Linked DNA regions of Xenopus tropicalis. The protein of the gene in region 2 interacts with the protein of the main gene of each other region in a pairwise test. Links are inferred from orthologs where the notes say so. Each region holds a gene or a part of one and is shown on either strand. Other genes may lie near its edges. The genes, in order: plekhb2 and cda.

What was found.
Region 1: the proteins of cda (region 2) and plekhb2 interact in binary tests that used the Homo sapiens proteins (3 or more experiments, as listed by UniProt). The two-hybrid records come from large-scale screens. The link is inferred for Xenopus tropicalis from reciprocal best matches to the Homo sapiens genes CDA and PLEKHB2.

Annotation. Positions count from the first base shown.
Region 1 is NC_030681.2:126,767,985-126,771,808, forward strand, and holds part of plekhb2 (pleckstrin homology domain-containing family B member 2), read right to left. Parts: intron 3,791-3,824; coding exon 3,685-3,790; intron 2,433-3,684; coding exon 2,299-2,432; 3' UTR 1-2,298. UniProt on the Homo sapiens protein: Involved in retrograde transport of recycling endosomes.
Region 2 is NC_030683.2:129,542,378-129,546,742, forward strand, and holds the start of cda (cytidine deaminase), read right to left. Parts: upstream 2,918-4,365; 5' UTR 2,745-2,917; coding exon 2,573-2,744; intron 1-2,572. UniProt on the Homo sapiens protein: This enzyme scavenges exogenous and endogenous cytidine and 2'-deoxycytidine for UMP synthesis.

The DNA.
Region 1 (3,824 bases), on a different chromosome or scaffold from region 2:
AAAAATGCAGTAATGCACAGTGGGGCAGTAATGCACAGTGGGGCAGTAATGCACAGTGTGCCGCTCTTGGCCCTTGGAGAGCACCTCAGTTGAAGCTGTTCCTGACCTGGCTCCATCTGGGCATGCTCTGTGCCACTGATTTAACAGTAAATCACACAGTTAGGGGCAAGATGGTCCCTGCCAACCCCTTTTTCCAAAAGGAGGAGCCCACAGAGAGACATTTTTGAGACTAACTTGGAGGGAGAGTTTAGTAATCCTTGAATGTGTGCCGGAAAGCAAAATATCATTTCTATTATTTAAACCATTTAAAACATATTAAATTAGTAATCAGTCAGGTCCCACACATAGCACTGGTAGGAAGAACTGTCACTGGATCATTCTCCTGCATCTCTAATTAAGTTTGGGTCACCTGGTTTGGAGAGCTGGGTGGCTGCAAAAGCAATTAAGGCATATCTCTTTGATGTGCATGTGGTGCCCGCTTGTCACTTAACCACCTTTCAACCAATTACTCCTGTAAATATCCATGCTGTGTAAAGATAATTGTTAAACAAACGATATACATTTATGTTCAACATGAGCCAGATAGATATCTGTTCTGCATGTTTTTAAAAATAAATTCTAATTGTATTTTTTTTAATTACTATAAAGCACTAATAGGCAATTGTGTTATCTTACTCTTAATACCTCCCTTTCCCTCCAATAAATTAAACAAATAATCTGTATATGATAAACCCCTCCCTTCCCTTTATTGCTACAGATAAGACAGAGGTCATTATATAGTGGCTTTAATGGTAAGGCTGTGAAACCATTTCTCCTCCAATTGCTCTGAAAAAAGCAAAAAGGTGGAATAAGGTGCAAACTAATTAGCAAAAGGGCTCATTCTGCTCCAGGGCATAAACACTGTGACCATAAATCTGCTCATTAGCAGTCAATACAATAAAGCCCAACTTGTAATTGTAAGGGATCCCTTTGTGCCTTGTGCTGCTTACAATTCCTCATATGTTTGCTTCTACCTTATTAATGACAAAAATAAGGGGCATTCAAGAGGACAATCATGTCCTGACCATGTGCCACTCTATATGGCACCCTTGAGCCTGGCAGAGCATTATATAATGTCAAGTGAATCACTCCATGTGCCATTGCCCTTAAGATAATATATCTTTATTGCTTACTCAAAAATTCTCTAAATCTCTCTCCAGGTTTGGGGCAATGGGTCACTGGATGTGTTGCTATACTTCTCTTAGGGACAACTGTAGCAATCAGAAATTCCTTTTTAGCCAGTAGTTGAGCCCAGGTCACTTGAAATGAACAATTCATGGCAGAACATCTGAGTGTGCGGGGAAATCTCACATGGTACATTTTTGTCTTTGTGCAGAAGGAGAGAAGGGTTTTTGATCTCCTAGAAATTGTTTGTCTTGGGCTTAAAATACAGTGGCTTTGACTTGCTAATGGGAGTGGCACGGCCAGAATTCTCAAGAGCATGGCCAGAAATGAATGACCCAGTATATAAAGACATCAGAACTTTTTACTCAGTTTATATGTTATCTTAAAAACCATGCACCAACAACGTGTGCCATTTACAGGGGAGAGTGCACAATGCAAAATCTGCCATGTTTTCTGCACCTTGTGCCTTGTCCTGAGCTTCAAAACATTGCCCTGGGTCTTTACACTACAAAACAAACCGCAGAGCCTGAATTTCCCCCATGAATACAGCACATCCTGCATTCAACATCACTGTATTCAAGTAAGAGTGGCATGGACTTCCACTTACCCATCCCCTAACTTGCATGTCATGGAACCCTGTACTTACAGCTTGCTCTATAGCAGGTGCTAAGGACCTTGTGCCCACTGGCACTGCACCCCACAACTAGCACAGGATATCCAGCGTTAGGCACAGAGGGCAGCCAGACCCTGAATGCAATTGCACTAAGGGATATACTTCTGCACCTCTTGCATTCAGGGTCAGAGTAAATGTCCCCTAAACTGTATGGTCTTTGAGTAGAAAACTCTTAAAAGCAACCAAAGTGTCAGTAGTATATCAGGTATAATATGAGCATACATAGAGCAATACACACTTATAAATAAATACTTAATCATTATTACTTATTGTTATACAATATAGAAGTTATGTGTGTTACTGTTCTATAAATATACGACTGTTTAGCTTTATGTTACACTTCTGTCAATTGCTCTGACTGTAGTTCTAAAAACTATTACCAGAAATATTACTTCTTTGGAAAAGCTGCGAGTGTTGAGGGAATCTAGTAAATAAATCCTGCAATCATTTTGTGGGAGCATTTAAAATCCCCAAAAGAGAGATCCGAGAGCCATTCCCGTAGCGGCTCCTGCAAGCATTCCCATCGCAAGGTCCCCATCATTGTCATAGTATCTCTCTCGGATGATGACGTGATTGGTCGGAGGTGCTCCATATCCTACAAAATTCAACAAATAAAACAATGGCATTGTTACAAATGTACTCAATTTTAGCTAAATAAAAAGAAAAAGACTTTAGAGCTCATTTATGAGGGGCCTATTTATTAGAAATTCATTGGGAAAATGGTGTAAAAAGCAGTGTAATATAAATGGCAAATTTATCAAGGTGTGTTTTATTTTACGCTGTCCGAATGCCAGATTTGACACCGTTATTTTATGTCCCTTCAGACATTGTCTAAGAAAAAAACAGTTTTAGGACTTTTGTAAAAACAGATCACATTTTAGTTTTTATGTATACAGAAATATTAGGAATTAAAAAGGATTCACACTTTTGAGCACCACTGTAGGCAGGCGCGGATTTGTGAGGCCACAAAGTCCCGGGCCTAGGGCGGCAAACATTCTGCTCCCATACGGAGCAGTGGGGACCTCTCCCCACTGCTGCGTATGAGTTTATATCGGCGCCCACGCAAATGCGCATGCGTGCGCTAGGGGGATGGGGGGTGAGTTGCGAATGCGCATGTGTGCGCTGGGGGGGGGTGAGTTGCGGGGGGCGCCTGGGCTGGCGGCCTCGGGGCGGATTTGAAATCCGGCACTGATTGTTGGTAGTGTCACAGTACACTTATGTCAGAATTGTATTTGTATTTATGTCAGAATTGTATTTATTCAGCAAAACTGAATAGAGGCCAAAATGTAGGGAATAAAGTTAATTACATCCTCAGATAACCTGGTGGAGCTGTGATACAGCTTTCTGCCCACTTTACCCTGTGGCAACCCTACATATTAAGTCAGGAAAGGAAATTCAGGGTTCTGTACTGCTGAAAACTTCCAAAACAAATGGCACACGAAAGGCCCCAGGCCCAAGAATAACATCCTTGTGGTGTTTATACATGGGAACAGTCCTTGTGAGTGTTCACCCCAAATCTCACCCTAATTAACATTTTCCTCAAAGCAGAATCTTATTGGACTTCAGCCTGGGCCATCCCCGGCCACTGCTCTTGGCTCCCTTGAGGGGGGAAGCATCACAGTTTTGGAAACACTAATGTAATGTATATTTTACCAAATATGATGAGGTAATGATGGGTAACTGTTTTTATGTATTTATTTCCTGTTATTTATATAGTGCCAACACATTTCCACAGCACTATACAGAGATAATACATCATTCACAACAGTCCCTGCCCCATAGGAGCTTACAATCTAAGTGCCCTATCATATTCACAGTTAAAAATCTAATGCAACATTGGCTTTTACCTTGTGGGGGATATGGGTAGGAGGCATATGCTTGCCCATCTCTGGTATAGATAACTTGCGATCCGGGAACTGGGTAGCCCCCTGGGTACTGATCATATCCATAGGCCTAAAAAAGATTTTGAAAATGGTTTATAATTAAT
Region 2 (4,365 bases):
TTCTGACTCCTGATACATCTCCCCAATATCCATTCATCCCTCATTCTCACTGGGTTTATAGTTATGTGTAACTGTCACTGTGCCTGTCCCTTTCCCTTCCCTGCACTGCTGGTTCTGACTCCTGATACATCTCCCCAATATCCATTCATTCCTCATTCTCACTGGGTTTATAGTTATGTGTAACTGTCACTGTGTCTGTCCCTTTCCCTTCCCTGCACTGCTGGTTCTGACTCCTGATACAACTCCCCAATATCCATTCATTCCTCATTCTCACTGGGTTTATAGTTATGTGTAACTGTCACTGTGTCTGTCCCTTTCCCTTCCCTGCACTGCTGGTTCTGACTCCTGATACAACTCCCCAATACCCATTCATTCCTCATTCTCACTGGGTTTATAGTTATGTGTAACTGTCACTGTGTCTGTCCCTTTCCCTTCCCTGCACTGCTGGTTCTGACTCCTGATACAACTCCCCAATACCCATTCATTCCTCATTCTCACTGGGTTTATAGTTATGTGTAACTGTCACTGTGTCTGTCCCTTTCCCTTCCCTGCACTGCTGGTTCTGACTCCTGATACATCTCCCCAATATCAATTCATTCCTCATTCTCACTGGGTTTATAGTTATGTGTAACTGTCACTGTGTCTGTCCCTTTCCCTTCCCTGCACTGCTGGTTCTGACTCCTGATACATCTCCCCAATATCCATTCATTCCTCATTCTCACTGGGTTTATAGTTATGTGTAACTGTCACTGTGTCTGTCCCTTTCCCTTCCCTGCACTGCTGGTTCTGACTCCTGATACATCTCCCCAATATCCATTCATCCCTCATTCTCACTGGGTTTATAGTTATGTGTAACTGTCACTGTGTCTGTCCCTTTCCCTTCCCTGCACTGCTGGTTCTGACTCCTGATACATCTCCCCAATATCCATTCATTCCTCATTCTCACTGGGTTTATAGTTATGTGTAACTGTCACTGTGCCTGTCCCTTTCCCTTCCCTGCACTGCTGGTTCTGACTCCTGATACATCTCCCCAATATCCATTCATTCCTCATTCTCACTGGGTTTATAGTTATGTGTAACTGTCACTGTGTCTGTCCCTTTCCCTTCCCTGCACTGCTGGTTCTGACTCCTGATACAACTCCCCAATACCCATTCATCCCTCATTCTCACTGGGTTTATAGTTATGTGTAACTGTCACTGTGTCTGTCCCTTTCCCTTCCCTGCACTGCTGGTTCTGACTCCTGATACAACTCCCCAATACCCATTCATTCCTCATTCTCACTGGGTTTATAGTTATGTGTAACTGTCACTGTGTCTGTCCCTTTCCCTTCCCTGCACTGCTGGTTCTGACTCCTGATACAACTCCCCAATATCCATTCATCCCTCATTCTCACTGGGTTTATAGTTATGTGTAACTGTCACTGTGTCTGTCCCTTTCCCTTCCCTGCACTGCTGGTTCTGACTCCTGATACAACTCCCCAATATCCATTCATCCCTCATTCTCACTGGGTTTATAGTTATGTGTAACTGTCACTGTGTCTGTCCCTTTCCCTTCCCTGCACTGCTGGTTCTGACTCCTGATACAACTCCCCAATATCCATTCATCCCTCATTCTCACTGGGTTTATAGTTATGTGTAACTGTCACTGTGTCTGTCCCTTTCCCTTCCCTGCACTGCTGGTTCTGACTCCTGATACAACTCCCCAATATCCATTCATTCCTCATTCTCACTGGGTTTATAGTTATGTGTAACTGTCACTGTGTCTGTCCCTTTCCCTTCCCTGCACTGCTGGTTCTGACTCCTGATACAACTCCCCAATATCCATTCATTCCTCATTCTCACTGGGTTTATAGTTATGTGTAACTGTCACTGTGTCTGTCCCTTTCCCTTCACACAATCATGTGAGTTCTTGCCTCCAACACCCGAGCAGCTGCTCCTGACATTGCCCCACAGCTGCTGCCAAACACAGTGCCCTACACAGCGCAGGCACGATGGGCACAGCTGGAAGGGTGGGAATGCTATATATATATATGTGCTTCCGTCCTTCAGCATTATTTGTGGGGGGGGGGGGCAAGGGGCATTTGGCTATTTTAAAGTGTAGAGAAGCCAAACTAATTAAAAGAAGGAAGACTCTTCATAAAAAAGTTACCTGGCTACTGGTCACAAGTGGTACTGCAGGAGAAAAAGCTACTGATGCTATTAACAGTCAGGTAAGTCTGATTTGATGAACTTACCCTTTAATCCATGGAATACATATCTGTAGGAGGGCAAAACTGCGGAGCTGGAGGATAAGATACTAAGCTAATGGGGCAGTGAGAGTTTGGGGTTAGTTTCAAAATACTGAATGAGCATTTCCAGGGCCAGAGAGGGATGAAGAGATATTTAACACAGTAGCTGAGGTTGAAAAAAGACACACATTCAATAAAGTCTAAAGTTTTGCACCAGTAATTCCCTTTGGCACATTAAATGAGGATTAATAGCAAGTAACATAGCAGCGGAAGTTAAAAAAAGACACTCAGCCAGTACAAAGCCAGAAGTAGGAGAGAGTTGGCAGAGAGAGAGCGGTACTTGCCCAGAATGACTTTCCCATCCGCGGTCAGGAGTGCGGCCCCCACTCGGAACTTGCTGTAGGGGCAGTGGGCTCGCTGCTTGGCTTCGTGGCTTTGGGCAACGAGTCTCTGGATGAGTTCAGTCTCTAGACTGGTTATACATCCGTTATCATGGCAGTTGCTATTCCCATCCATCCCTGGCACTCAGGAGTGGGGAAGCCTCTGTGGGTATCAGTGTGTCCCCTAAAGTCTCAGCAGTGGGTCTGTGGGGGTCAGTAGCTGCCAGTGAGGGCCAGTGAATAAACTTTAGTGATTGGGTGCATTAACCCCCTGGCTCCTTGGCTGTAGGTGTCTGTTGGCAGCTGTGTCCTGTAGTTGTGGGTGTGTGTATCCTGCAGCCTCCGTGCCTCACTATTTGTATGGTGCTGAATTCCTCAGGGTGGCTCCTCTCTGATTGGCCAGGCCTCAGCCCTCCTGCATTCCTCCTCTGTATCTTGTCTGTTTCACCCAGGGGCAGGGGTTTGTTCATGGGGAGGGAGGCAGGGAGGGTGAGTGACAGGTTGCAGTGCTGTGTGACCTCATTGGTGGAACAAAATGACTCCGGCTTCCTGCATGGCTGCCCGTCACTGCTGCTCTGACTCAGTACAGTCATCTCTCCGGCTACGTGCTGTCCTGTCACGTCACTCCGTGTGTATCCAGAGCCACCGCCAGAATGTCACCGTGCCCAGGCTGGAATATGGGCATTCCTGGAGAGCAATGGGAAGAGATGGGGGGGGAGAAATATATAAATAGAGAGAGAAGGGAGAATAAATAGAGAGAGGGGGAAAAAGAGAAAGAAAAAGATGAAAGAAAGAAAGAGAGAGGGGGGAAAAAAGAAAGAAATATATATATAGGGAGAGAGAGAGAGAGAGAGAGAGAGGGGCGGAAGAAATAGAGAGAGAGGGAAAAAGAAAAAGCAAGAAGATGAGGGGGGAAGCAATAGAGAGGGAGAAAAGAGAAAGAAAGAAAGAAAGAATAATAGAGAGAGAGAGAGAAAGACAAAGAAAGAGACAGAAATAGATTAAGAAGGAAAGTAAAAGAGAGAGAAAATTAGAGACAGACTGTGAGAGACAGGACTTTCCCCAGTCCCCATATACTGACCCCATATACTGGGGTTAGGGGGTCAGTATATGGGGACAGGGGAAAGTCCCCCCTTAAACCCCCCAATTCCCATATACTGACCCCCTAACCCCACCCCTTACACCCCCCCAATTCCCATATACTGACCCCCTAACCACACCCCTTAAACCCCCCCAATTCTCATATACTGACCCCCTAACCCCACCCCTTACACCCCCCCAATTCCCATATACTGACCCCCTAACCCTGCCCCTTACACCCCCCCAATTCCCATATACTGACCCCATAACCCCACCCCTTAAACCCCCCCAATTCCCATATACTGACCCCCTAACCCCACCCCTTACACCCCCCCAATTCCCATATACTGACCCCCTAACCACACCCCTTAAACCCCCCCAATTCCCATATACTGACCCCCTAACCCCACCCCTTAAACACCCCCAATTCCCATATACTGACCCCCCTAACCCCACCCCTTACACCAGGGGTGGGCAAACTACGGCCCGCGGGCCACATCCGGCCCCTTGGCCTTTTTAATCCGGCCCGCCGACGACGCCAAGTCTCATCACGCGAGACTTGGTGTCATTGGCGGGCCGGAATTAAAGAGACAAAGGGGGCGTAACGCTGGCCTGGCCCTGCCCGCCCTCGCCCGGTCCGGCCTGGGGGTGAGTAAATGTGGCCCGTGAGCCAAAAA